Linked DNA regions of Nothobranchius furzeri. The protein of the gene in region 1 binds, or shares a complex with, the protein of each later gene. Links are inferred from orthologs where the notes say so. Each region holds a gene or a part of one and is shown in the gene's direction. Other genes may lie near its edges.

What was found. The genes of interacting proteins can lie anywhere in the genome.
Region 2: scap (region 1) and rnf139 share a complex: the UniProt entries of both Homo sapiens proteins name them as parts of the SCAP-SREBP complex. The link is inferred for Nothobranchius furzeri from reciprocal best matches to the Homo sapiens genes SCAP and RNF139.
Region 3: the proteins of scap (region 1) and insig2 are in contact, whole or in part, in a cryo-EM structure (PDB 7ETW), measured with the Homo sapiens proteins. The link is inferred for Nothobranchius furzeri from reciprocal best matches to the Homo sapiens genes SCAP and INSIG2. Residues at the interface, in NP_036367.2 of Homo sapiens: Pro200, Ser206, Val282, Ala283, Glu284, Ile286, Pro287, Thr290, Ile294, Ala297, Tyr298, Phe301, Lys305, Tyr351, Val354, Val355, Glu359, Thr409, Leu410, Val411, Ser638, Tyr639; in NP_001308258.1 of Homo sapiens: Phe41, Val45, Leu48, Leu49, Ile51, Val55, Leu57, Phe58, Pro59, Val62, Ser65, Ile66, Glu104, Trp105, Ser106, Met109, Arg110, Val112, Ala113, Val114, Val116, Gly117, His120, Gln132.

What each region holds. Positions count from the first base shown.
Region 1 is NC_091745.1:65,124,465-65,128,727, forward strand, and holds the start of scap (sterol regulatory element-binding protein cleavage-activating protein), read left to right. Parts: upstream 1-1,450; 5' UTR 1,451-1,678; coding exon 1,679-1,854; intron 1,855-4,263. UniProt on the Homo sapiens protein: Escort protein required for cholesterol as well as lipid homeostasis.
Region 2 is NC_091759.1:12,644,763-12,649,113, reverse strand, and holds the start of rnf139 (E3 ubiquitin-protein ligase RNF139), read left to right. Parts: upstream 1-1,527; 5' UTR 1,528-1,940; coding exon 1,941-2,103; intron 2,104-4,351. Other genes in the region: deoxyribonuclease TATDN1, read left to right, coding at 54-124, 353-479, 574-676. UniProt on the Homo sapiens protein: E3-ubiquitin ligase; acts as a negative regulator of cell proliferation through mechanisms involving G2/M arrest and cell death.
Region 3 is NC_091754.1:36,998,964-37,003,168, reverse strand, and holds the start of insig2 (insulin-induced gene 2 protein), read left to right. Parts: upstream 1-1,381; 5' UTR 1,382-1,543; intron 1,544-2,539; exon of another isoform or gene 2,540-2,668; intron 2,669-2,862; 5' UTR 2,863-2,889; coding exon 2,890-2,978; intron 2,979-3,227; coding exon 3,228-3,400; intron 3,401-4,205. UniProt on the Homo sapiens protein: Oxysterol-binding protein that mediates feedback control of cholesterol synthesis by controlling both endoplasmic reticulum to Golgi transport of SCAP and degradation of HMGCR.

The sequences.
Region 1 (4,263 bases):
GTTGCCATACAGACAACGAATTTTCTCCCATTTATGTGCTCGAGTCAAAAAAACCTGTGTTGTATAACATTCTCTTTTGTTGCTAACTATTTGCTAAACTGCAGAAACTAAGTGCTATAAATTAAACATTTAATTGATTTATATTCTCTAGATAGATCGTTTCCCTCATTTTAAAAGTTTAACTGTTGGATTTTTACCACAAAATAGAGGAAAAATGTAGAAACCGTTGGGATGCTCTGTTATGATCGATTTCGCATGTGTGAATAAAAGTGGCTCTTGATGGTTTTGATCTGGGCATGTCTGTCATGCTTACCGTTGTTTGTTACTTGAGAGGTGATGTTGCAACATGGTTGCATCAGCCCCACCATCCCTATTTGTGCTTTGCATCTTGGGAAAATCTATTTTATGGTTTAGATCGTAAATGCACAGGGGGGTGACATTTATGAATAGCAAAAGACTATGTACTTCCTTGCATCTGCACACTCACTGTGATAGGCATAAACTGTGGCTTTTTCTGTCTCATTGAAATATTTGGTCAGAAAGGAGGAAGTCTTGTGGAAAGAGCCAGCCATCTTTAGTTATTACAACACGGTTACTGATTAACAGAAGTTTTCTCTGTTCTGTCATTGGCTCTGGTTGTAAATGACAGTTACAAGTTCATTCAAAGTGAGGTTGGTGCTGCTTTTACAACTGTACTAATATCTACAGATTAGCAGCACGTGCTTCATCGTTATGTAACTGTGTCGCTGGGTTTTGAAGCAGTTACACTAAGAAGAATGGATGCAGTCTAAAGATCTGTGGAATGTTTTGAGATAGTGGTTTTTGGCTCCGCTACGCTGATAATGTCTCTGGGATCTGTGAAGCCTGGAGAGGCTTTCAAGTTTGGTATTTTAGCAAAAACTGAAAAGAGGTAAGCCTTTTGCTTTTGGGGTTGTATTTCTTTTTTGCTCCAAATTTCTCATTCTTGCTTTCTTATTTATCTTATATCATTCTTGCTATCTTGAAAATGTATTTTTAAGTAAGCTAGGTTTCTATGGGACTGCTCTTTTTTTCGCCCTCATCCACAGTGGGCCAACAAATCCCACAAGAATAGATTTTCCCGAATGGTCACTGATCACCTGCCAGAATGGCTGAAAGGAGCTCAGATTCACCGCACTGTGGCTGCTGCGTACAAACACTAAATTCTTGGCTGCTGTTCATTTTCCGCTCCGATTGAGAAGTGCTGTAAGACTCCTCCAACCTTGCTATGCTTTTAATGCATGAAAGACTGAAGTGTGTGACCACGGGAGGAGGAGGGAATCAATGGGAGGTGGCCTCAAGACCTCTATCCTGTTCGTTGAGTTTCCGATCAGTTCAATCCCAGATTAGTTTACTGACGGAGATGCTGCTGATCCTTTGCCAAATCAGGCCTTCCAGCTGCACCCACATAACCCTGGAGAGTACAGCAAACTGGACAAACAGACCAGAGATGGAGACTTTCATCCAGAGTTTTTTAAACGAATGCTCGGCTAAACCGTGAGCGAGGCAAGAACCTGGGTCAGAGGCGCCGGCACTGAAAAGGCTTGACTTCAAACAACCTTTGTGAAGTCTTTGTGGACGCTTGTTGTAGCTTTGTTTACTGTAAAGCATATTTATAACAGCAGATCAAGAGACTCCTGAGGAGAGTTCCTCCCAGGGAATGTTTCCGTCGCTCCCGGGAGGACAAGCCAAGCAGTCGTGCACTCTGCCTGAGCCAAGAAGGGAACACTATGTCAACTGTAATGCACAAGTTAGGCTAAAAAACCCCTGCACTGCTGCCTTCAGAGGACGTAAACAGGTGGCATCCCGAGAGACAACCTGGTCTCCCATCAGCAGGTACAGTGGTGTTGTGACTGACACGGGGGCTGCTGTGTTGGGGCATGCTTGACATGTTGGCTTGTACAGCTTAGTGACATCACAGACAGGAAAATGATTAAGTAGGATCATGAATAAAACACTACTAATGCCATGCAACAGCAGCAAACGCTGCAGCAGCAACTCCGTCTGTTAGCTCAGCGGACGTGAGACGAGCTGAGATTGAGTTGGCGTGGGGAAGCGGAACGGACATTTGTGTTTGATGTGAGGCGAACTGCCCTCAAGGCACAGATTTCAAACAACGTCGGAGCTCATGTATAGATATCAGTGTTCAGTTTGTTCTCAAGCAGGGAGGGATGTTTGTGGAAAGGGTGATTTCCACAAGTGACATCGAGTTATCAGTTGTCACATGTTTTTAGGCGGTATGATGCTCTTTCCAAACAAGCATCATTTATGAGTAGTTGATTTAGAGAATCTCAAAGATCAGAAATGCTGAAAACGTGGCAACAGTTGAAAAAGTGCAGGCCTGCCGTAGCTCCAGACGGAGCTCTTCAATCAGGGTTGATCAAAGCTGCCCATTAGCATAGCTAATGGAGAAACAACAGAGACAGACAGATTGATGCTTGATTCAAAGCTTTTGCGCAAAAATATTCCTTTAAAGGTCTCATCCATTCATTTTTTTCTATTAATCTGCCGTGGTTTCTATTAATAAATCTTAGTGAGTCGTTTTCTATGGAAATGATCTGACGCTCCTGTTACAGGAAGTAGAAGTTTGTCGGAGGAGTGATTTTCCAACATGCCTTGCAAGTCGTTTTCTGTGGAGAGAGGTTTTGGTGTTCCTGTTTTGGGGTTGGAAGTTTGGCAGAAGAGTGGGACGAGAGGGTCTTGTTCATTATTATTCATGATATGCGAACATCTCGCCTCTGATTGGCTAACGGCACCACAGCTTTTCTTCTGCCTTTGTTCGCTTTTTCTTTCTTGGGTAAAAAAAAAGCAACATTGGTGTTTTATCTCCACAAATAACACACACCTGATTGTGTTCTCCCATGTTGAGTTGCTAGTGGTTAGCTTATACTAGGCGAGATGCTGTCCGCTGTTTCCTTCTTGTGTAAGCCAATGTGGGCCGGGTCACAAACACTAATTTTCTCTGTGACATAGAAGCAATCTGCCTTTTCCTATCAGATCATTTCATGTCTCTTTCTTTTCTGTGACAAATGCAGATGATGGGGATTGGAGAACATTTTCACATTCAGCATGCATGAGTGACCAATCGCCTTTCTGAAAGAACAATTTTAAACAGTTTCTTGGGGAAGCAGACCTTAAAAATCTTTTTTTTTTTTTGTTTGTGAATTGTATTAAAATTGTTTCTCTGTGAGAAACAGAAATTACCAAGTGATCAAATGCCCGAGTCGGCATGTATGCAAAACCTCTGCCTCCGTGCTTTTTCACCTTCATGTAAATAACCCCTGTCTTCTTTGAAAGGAAGCAGCATGAAAGCTGGTTTTTTCCCCCCAGGCGTGATCAGTTAAATTTGGATATTTCCTTTAGCGGGAATGTGCCCACACCTTTTGGATCTCTGAAAGAGCTGTGTGTCTTAAGTGGTGTGTAGCATGCAATGGCAGTAGAAACCACTCTGGAGGAAAAATGCAGCATGTCTTTATTCATGGTGTGTGTGGTGGATGGAGTAAGTCAAGTCATCTTTATTTATATAGCACTTTATAACAGCATAAAAGCTGACCAAAGTGCTTAACAAGACAAAATGAACAGAATTTCCTCAAAAATTCTAAAAACAAGATAAAAAGTTAATCACAAGGTAAAATCATGATAAAACAAACATATCAAACTGACATAAAAGCTACTAAAAACAGATGCATTCTCAAACTGAATTAAAAGCAACTGAGAACAGATGAGTCTTTAAGAGGGATTTAAAACCCGACAGTGATGAAACCATCCTAATCTGAATCGGGAGTGCATTCCACAACCTTGGAGCTGCTACTGAGAAAGCTCTATCACCCCTGAGCTTTCTCTTTGTTCTCGGCACCTCCAGGAGAAACTGGTCGGCTGACCTCAGTGACCGAGACGGGGAGAAAGTTACTAAAAGCTCACACAGATACTGCGGAGCAAGGCCATGTACAGCTCTAAAAGCCAATAAAAGAACCTTGTACTGGACCCTATAAACCACAGGCAGCCAGTGCAGCGAAGCTAAAATTGGGGTGATGTGCTCCCTCTTTCTCGAACCCGTCAATAGGCGTGCTGCTGCATTTTAGTAAATAAAGATAAGTCTTAGCTTTAGAGATTTAGTACTATATTTACTTTGACAAGAGGCTCCATGAAGCTTATCTCTGATTCGTGTCGCATAAAAAACTTTATAATTTGACAGGATGTCCACAACTCAAATGTATTGTTTTATTTTATTTAAAAGCTGTGGAG
Region 2 (4,351 bases), on another chromosome or scaffold:
TAGCTTTTTCAGTTTGTGTACAATGTCTCTAATAATCAAGTGCAACTTTTCAGCTCCTTGAAGACAACAGCCAATATTGAAGCTATGAAGTCAATCCCCACAGAGAGACTCTTGATAGAAACTGGTGAGTTATGGGTTATTGATTTATTTGGTTTTTTTATTTATTTAGCCATTTGACAAAATGGACCAATGTCTTTGATGTGCTCTGATCTCCAAAACCTCCAAACTTTCTGTTGGTATAAGAAGTTTTTCTTCCATTTGTATTACTTGACCTTGTTGGGTAATGGAATTTCCACCCCGTGAGTACAAACTAGTGCGTTTTTTTGCATTTTGCCTTTTTCTCTTTCTCCAGATGCCCCATGGTGTGGTGTGAAGAACACTCATGTGGGCTCCAAATATGTTAAAACCACATTTCCAACAAAGAAGAAATGGGAGGCAGGGCATTGTTTGAAGGATAGAAATGAGCCCTGTCACATCGTGTGAGTACTGCTAGGGATTAGCAAAATTAAAAATAAAAATAAATCATTGTTCATGCATTTTAATTCCATCGTTCTCTTATTTTGTTTTTAATAGACAAGTTCTTGAGGTGATGGCAGGTACAAGAGATGAAGACCCACTTGAGCTGGCCAACACTATCTACAACAACACCATCAAAGTTTTCTTTAGCTCCAGCTGAAAACAGTTGATATTGTTATGGCATTATATTGTCTTATGAATGCTTGTTTGTTTGCACGTGCCTAAAGAAAAGGTTTATAGATTCAGTATGGTCATTTGCAAATATAAAGTATCTTCCAATGTATCCTATTTGTAATTTTTAAAGTTAATAGTAAAGAAAGTAAGATTTTTCCAGGAAATTTATCTAATTTTTTTCAGTTTTTCTCCTTTTTAAAAGGCCCAAAGAAGGATGCAGTCTGTTTACAATCCGTCCTGCCTCTATCCTTCCTGGTTCCAGATCCAATCATATGTGAGCTAGCAAAGTTGCCAAGTCTTCAAACAGTGAGCCCACATTTGTAGTTGCAGCACCAACTGGCAAAAAGCAGCAGTGTTGTGGAAATCATGTTAGCCAGTAAAAGGAGTGCCCCAGTAATTAGTTATAACCCTAAGAAGCCACAGCAACCTTTTTGTTTTACTCTAATATCGGGTAAAAAAAATAAATAAAAAAGGCTGGAGGCTAATGTTGAGCTAACTGCTAATGGTGCATTAGAAAATTATTATCTGTTCTGACCATCGACATATACATATAGGTCCTGACAATATCTTAAGCTGATTTTCAATTACTAACAACTCTGTATGACAGTGAAATGTATTTATAAGCTAATCATCTTACTGTGCATGACTTGCCATCTAGAATATTCCGTTGCTGATCAATAACTGGCAACCATCGTCCCTTTTTTTTTAGCTTTTTTGTGTTTTGTAAAAAAAAATACACTGAAACACATAAAAACATCTTTAATTTATTCATAGTAAGAGTTATTATTATACATTCATCCTGTTGTTCAGTAAAAAAAAAAAGAGGAAGCACGTGGGTCTCGTTGCGTCAGCCGTCACACCCACCGACGACGAGTTGTACGTCACGTTACGTCACATCTGAATCACCCAACAACTTTGTGTTCTTCGTAAAGCCAGAGCTATAGGAAATGAGTGTGTTGTCGTTGTTTCCATGTTTTTGGTGACATTAACCAGCGCAGGATCGGATGGAGCGTTTTGAATTTTAATGGCGAAATGACTCCGGATGTGAGCTGGAGCGTCACATTTAACAAACTGAAGAAGCAACAGGAGGGTTGAGCTGGAAGAATATGGCGAGCCGCGACAGGTCGCTAGCTGTTAAATAACCGTCAGGACCAAACAAAATAACACGACACTTGGTGGACTTGAACATGTGTTAAAGTGGCACGGATATCCGGGACTGACCAGGACTGTAAAACCTCAGCTGAAGCCGTATGGCGACCACCCAAGCCCGCATAGGCCAGCAGGCCTTAGCGCTGCTGGATGTGGCGCTGCGAGTTCCCTGTATCTTCATTATCGACGCTATGTTTAACTCTTACTACGACCCTGGATCGGGATGGGCAGGGGTGATGGGAAAGGTGTTGGTCAGAGTTATAGGTAAGTTGTTTTAGGCGCAGATTTCAAACCAAGAGCTTTCGGTTTGTCAACAAGCAAGTTGTTAAAGCTAAGCTAATGCTATCAGAGCTTTCCACCTGTCGGGAACTAAAGCCGATTTAATTATCAGCACGAACATACATTCAAGACACATTTTTCAAACAATTGTTACTGAGTTTGTTTTGCACTTTTTCTTGAGCTTTTTACACTTCAAACCCCCCGTTCAGGTTGTTTATCGCTAACGTTCATTAGCCGGTCACCGGTGTTGTGTCATGTTTTGCGTACCTGCTTGAAACTGGCGGAAAGTTCAAAAATGCCTGAAGGAAAATAGTTTTACTCTAGCTTTATTCAGACGTGTTTTGTAATATTAAAACTTAATGTGGGCGTTGTGAGTATGCATTAGTACAACATTTGTCTTTACGCTCTTTTTTTGGCGTTAGGAGGCAGATTATATAACTTTAGTAGTTTGTGGACTTTTGAACGGTTCATGACTTCTGCAGAGATCAAAGAGCTCTAGGTAAGAGATGCAAGCGATTATATATATATATATATATATATATATATATATATATATATATATATATATATATATAAACAAACTTAGCACCAAGTCAGATTAATCTAAATTGGAATTACAAACCTGCTTCAATGTGAAACTATAGATAATTGAAAAAAGTTTCAACAAGGTTTGACCCCTTTTAGTCACTGAAGTCGTTTTATCAGATTGTTGAATGACGCCATTGTTCTCGAATCTTATTGATTAAAACCAAACATGAAAGGACAAAGTTCAAAGATTAATGTAAGGGGAATCTGAAAGGAGTGGTGATTACATACATTAAATGTGGATATTTAGGTCAGAGTCATTTACTTCAAATGTAAAATCTACATAAAGCCCAATCAATTAAACATTTAACCAAATCAGTAAACTATTCAAACTTCGGCAACAGCACCAGACTGCCTGCAGATGTGCCTGACTTTAAATTGGTTTTACTAAAGAATTACCGTAAATCCTCTAATACAGGCCCGGGTCTGTATTTGACTCAAGCTCATCAAGCTCCAGGCCTTTATTGGAAGGAGGACCAGAATTAGAGGCAGGCCTCAATTTCTATTTGAGCAAAATGAACTAATGGTTCGCTGGAGTTTTTGACAATTAAAATTGCGCCCACATTTTCAAAGTTAAACACATTTCTTTTAACAACGGTAGTTTCTGCTTCAGCCCCCCCCCCCCCTGCACAGCTGCCGCAAACTCACTGATGCGCCTGCAGCCTCTCGGAGTTCCTGCTGCTCTAAACATTAAAATAATTATTTCATTTTCTGTTCCTCACTTCTGATTACCTTCAATGGTGTCTGTTTGTTGCAACCACCAGGTACAAAAACTAACTTGTTTTTATTTGACTATTTTTCTGTCCTGTCTGTTTATTATCTTCCTGCATCTCCTCTCAATCCTAAAGAGAAACTGCTACCTGGGTTCATATATATTCACCTTATGAGTTACCTTTGAACTGCAGTTCTAAAAGATCTACCGACCGCAAAAACAGCGGAGTGCTCGCTGGCCACATCAGTGAGGTGCGTCACCGAGGACAAAACAGGTGATGCGCCCCGATCCACAGCAGCGAAAGGCATCAGGCACAAATAAAAGCATAAAAGACAGAAAACATAAAAGGAAATGAGCCGACATGAACGATCGCGTGTTAAATTAGTTTTTGAGGTGGCGACACCTGATTTGATAATGTTACTGTGGCCGTGCTCAGGACGCAGATGTCTGGAGCGCGTCAACAATCAGAGCTTTGCATGCGCAAGCTGGTTAAGGTTAGGATGGGGGTGAGGGGAAGGTTAAATTGCAAGAGGGTAAAGGTCACAACTTGGTTAAATGTCCATTTTATGGCGGGTGTCAGTACCGACGCTCTGGCACAGCGCGTTGCCTCCCGATGCGCAGGAGCTTGTCACCTGCTGACAGCAGGCTGCTGTCTTTTCCGTGGACTGCATCTTGCCGGTCATTATCACGTGACAGCGACTAGTCGATGACAGGCATAAAAAGTCACTATAGAGCGGTGAAGTCGACTAGTGACTAGTTCATACAACCCCTGCTACTGCTCCCCAGAGTGTTCTGCAGCATAATCAGCACGTTCTCTTTGAACTTGATATCAAATTTTCGCCTCCTCTTCGTCTCCGCATGGTTAAATTTACCCTCGCAGTCTATCACTGGCAAATCAAAAGTGAGACGGATGACACAACCGCCTCCCGTACTTGC
Region 3 (4,205 bases), on another chromosome or scaffold:
CACACTCACGAGTGTCCCTTTTATTTTATCTATCAGTGATGTCAGCATAATCTTGTAGATTAAAAACGTATGTACTTGTGTGATATAATCTTCTAATGCTGACTCTGTCCCCCATCTCAGACTCAGGCTACAAACACACAACATGACAGCTTCTAGAAACAGGATGAGGTGCTTTCCCTTTTCAGTAACAGCAAAAGGTTGGTCATTATATGCCTGCCCTAAATGAACTGGTATGGAAATGAAACCATAGATAGACAACATCTGTATCATCTCCACTTGAACTCATCAGGCAGTGGGGTCAAATTAGGTGCTGTTAGAACATTAGTTTTATTAAACATTTATTTTACATGAAATACATGAGATTAATAATCTCTTGTGTCCCCGTCCCATTGGGAACACTTAAAAAAAGAACTAGGGTTAAAACAATCTAAAAAAACTGAAGTTTTCAACAAAATTCTGTAAGCTAAGTTTTTCGAAAAACCTGTGTGATAAATTAATTCTTTCATCTCAATGACAGGAGCCAATATTGTATACTTGTATAGCGCCTTTCAGACTCTGAGGACCTCATTATTATTATTATTATTATTATTATTATTATTATTATTATTATTATTATTATTAACAATCCAGTAATATTATTATTATTAGTAGTAGTAGTAGTAGTACTTGTACTACTACTACTACTACTACTACCACTACAACTATTAATAATAATAATAATAGTATTAATATTGATAATAATAATAATTAATAATAATAAATTAGTCATCCAAATAATGTTTGTGTTGACGTTGGTGAAACATGCATTACTTGTAGAAAATAAGCTTTTGTTTCTGTCCATAATTGTTTTGAAACTCCACCAAATCCTGATTAATTTGATTATTCTTAATATTTTTCAAGTTCAAGACAACCTGTGAGTTTTCCAAACGCAAATTCTGGTTACATAAGCGTTTTTTGGGGGATATTTTCAGTCATTCGATCCGAGCAGTTGGACTTTTGAATGAAAATGCTAGGGCAGCCCACTCGTTGATTGGTCCCAGTCACGTGACCCGATGCTGTGCTTGAACCATTCAAGTTGAATGATTCAGTAAACACTCAGATTAATACCTACAAGGAGTAGATAGCTGCTTCTCTAATTCTTGCTACTTTTTACATTAATAATTTTATCATGAGTGTTTTATTAGTTCTTATATTTGCTTATCTCTTAATTAATTTTTTTCTATCTTACCTTCTTCACCAAAATACCGCAGCAATTTCCTAATGTTGTGACTTGGCACACATATGGCAATAAAAACTTCTGATTCTGAGCGTGTAACTTTGATCACGTGATATGTCAACGATATTTTTTATAGGGATTACGTCACGGATCTCGATGTTGATTGGTTTCTGGAACTCAGTCCCGGAAGTAGCTAGAAGCGGAGACAGAAGCTTCTATTTAAAGGGGGATATATACTGGTGTAGTTTCTCCACGTGAACAGCTTCAAATGTCTCCTGGAGAGTGTCGCTGCGTTCAGCCCACCCCCTAACCCTCAGCCATTATAAGGTAAGGAGGTTTGACTTTAACCCGTTTTCCAGGACGGACCTCAGCTAGCTCACATGTACCAAACTAAGCCTCAGCTAGCTTTACCTCCACTTGTTCCCTAACTTACTTTTATTTAAGTGACGTGTTTAGTCATTTATTTAGTGCTGCAGCAGTTTGGTTCATGGGAGCAAGTGTTGCTGACAGGCTGAGGTCAAACACGCGATGACAGCATTTCCGGTTCTAGGGAAAAGTCCAAATCTCCTTCTGCGTCTCCTGACCTCTGCCCTGGACCTCATCTGAAAGTGTTAGAAGGCCGAAGAAGAAACCTGTGAGATTTAGGGGGAGAGGACAGACTAACGTGCATCTGTTTACGGCCGACCTTCGTCCGGTGTTGCGGTTTAACGTGGGACATTAATAAAGAGTCGGTGACCTTCCGGTAGCGTGGGTGGTCGCTGTTCTCTTGTTTACTGATCAAACCTGGAGAGTTTCAGCTCCAGCGTCTGACTCCTGTTATTATTTTAACTGCAACGTTTCCAGTCAGTCTGGTGTCTTCTGTTGTAATAATAATAATAATAATAATAGTAATAGTAATACTACTACTAATAATAATAATGTGTGTACTAGGTATTTATTATGACACATTTTCTTGGAGAGACCGTGAAACGTACTCGGTAAAATTTGGTACAGCAGGCCGACAGTTGTGTGTTTATGGGAAAACCGTTTGTGTTTCGTTTCTGTGGTCCTGCTGAAAAGTGCAGAGCTCCACATGCCACCTTTCTGTGTGCTAGACAGGACCCGCAGCAGTGTTTAGTTTGTGTGTTTTTCCTATTTGTCTGGAAAGGACACTGTAGTGGTGGTTCCTTTGTTTGTCAACTCACTTCATATTTTCCAACTTTAAAAGCCGCTGCTGCACTGTGGTAACGTTTCGTACGCTGGCAGAAGTTGTTCAGGGTCCAAACTTGAAAGCTGCGTTTTCTTCAAGGTTTATTTTCCAGGTTGGCAACACAGATCCTGTTTTCCATTGTTTCCTGCTGCTTCTCCTGCTCTGGTAAAAAACCATACGCACACCCCAGTGCATGCTGGTCCTATACCAGTGCCTCCTTATACAAAATACCCAGTGATTGTTTTCCTGACTGACTTACAAAGGTAAACAACAAAACAAACTACAAAAATAAACAACTATTAATCCACGAATAAACTTTATAAATGCTTAAAAAAATAAAGTGAACTAATCACAAATTTAAAGAAAATACACAACAATAACACATAAGGAGCTCCAGCAGACACTAAACTCTTCTAAAAGGAGCTCATGCACTTTTTTGTTTGTTTTCCCGGTTCAGTCTCACGGATGTCCCTGACTGACAACCATGAGCAACAGTGATCGGCGGCAGCGGCCGGGGTCCAAAGAGTCACACCGGTGCTCCTGGGGACCGTATATCTCAGCCATCACCAACAGGTAAGCCTTCAGAGTTGCTGGGTGGGTCTGTAATGCCCTGTTAGTACTGACTTACCAACATCACAGCATTTACATAGTTGGATTCTTCTAGTGAGAACCCTGAAGAGCCCGTTTTACAGTTGAATAACTCTGATCTACAACAGTGGGGTGTAACGTGTTTGTAGCATAAACTGTACCAAACACTGTGCCCTAAACAGATTAAAATTTACTTCACAATAAAAACAAAATGTCCTTCACTTTGCTATCCAGGACCACCAACTTGTTTATACGAGGGGGCATGCTGTTCTCTGTGGGCGTCTTCCTGGCTCTTGTGCTGAACTTACTTCAGGTGCAGAGAAATGTCACTCTTTTCCCTCCAGATGTCATCAGCAGCATCTTCTCCTCAGCATGGTGGGTGCCGCCCTGCTGTGGCACAGCCTCAGGTGTGTAAAAAGAAAAAAAGGCTTTAGCGTAGATGAGAGCAACACATCTAAGTATTTCGGCCCTGAGCAGTGCTCCCACCCCTGCTGGGAGAACTGAACCCTCCCTGTGAACGAGAAACCGATCATATCAGAGCCACATCCCTCATTTTAGCGTCCCCTTCTCTTTAGGGAAGTTAACAGCAACTTTTCAAACATTTGCATAGAAGCAGCAACATGATGACCCCCCCCCAACACACACACATGCACAAAGGTGGCAGATCCATTTGAGAAACACTGGACTGATATCACACCCCCTGCACTCTAGAGGGGAGGAATCCTCACCACCTAGTGACATTGTGGGATGGGGCTCAGGACTGGATTCGTGAATGTGATCTGTCCCCTGGGCAGGTCTCAGGCTGTTAGAAGGTCTCCATCAGCCACACTTGTAGAAGCTTGCAATAGCATAGCTGGTATGCATACACACATTTCCCTGTGGGATGTGTAACATGCCCGTCGGGCTTCAACACACGCACGCACGCACACACACACACACACACTGTGGAACTGAAGCAGTACTGTGCTTTGAGGCCCCAGCGAGGGCATCAGCATTGTGTTGACAGTGCTAAAGTCCGTTTAAACCCGCATTCGTTGAGTAGAGGTCACCCAGATGTAAGCTTTGCTGCAACTCCTAACACACTTCCTGATGCTAATTATCAGTATGTGCAGTAATCTTGGGACCAGTTCAATGGTAGGTAGCAGGATGACACACTCACTCTAAACTGATGGAAAAAATAATTAATCTTATTCTGATTTACACAACTGACCT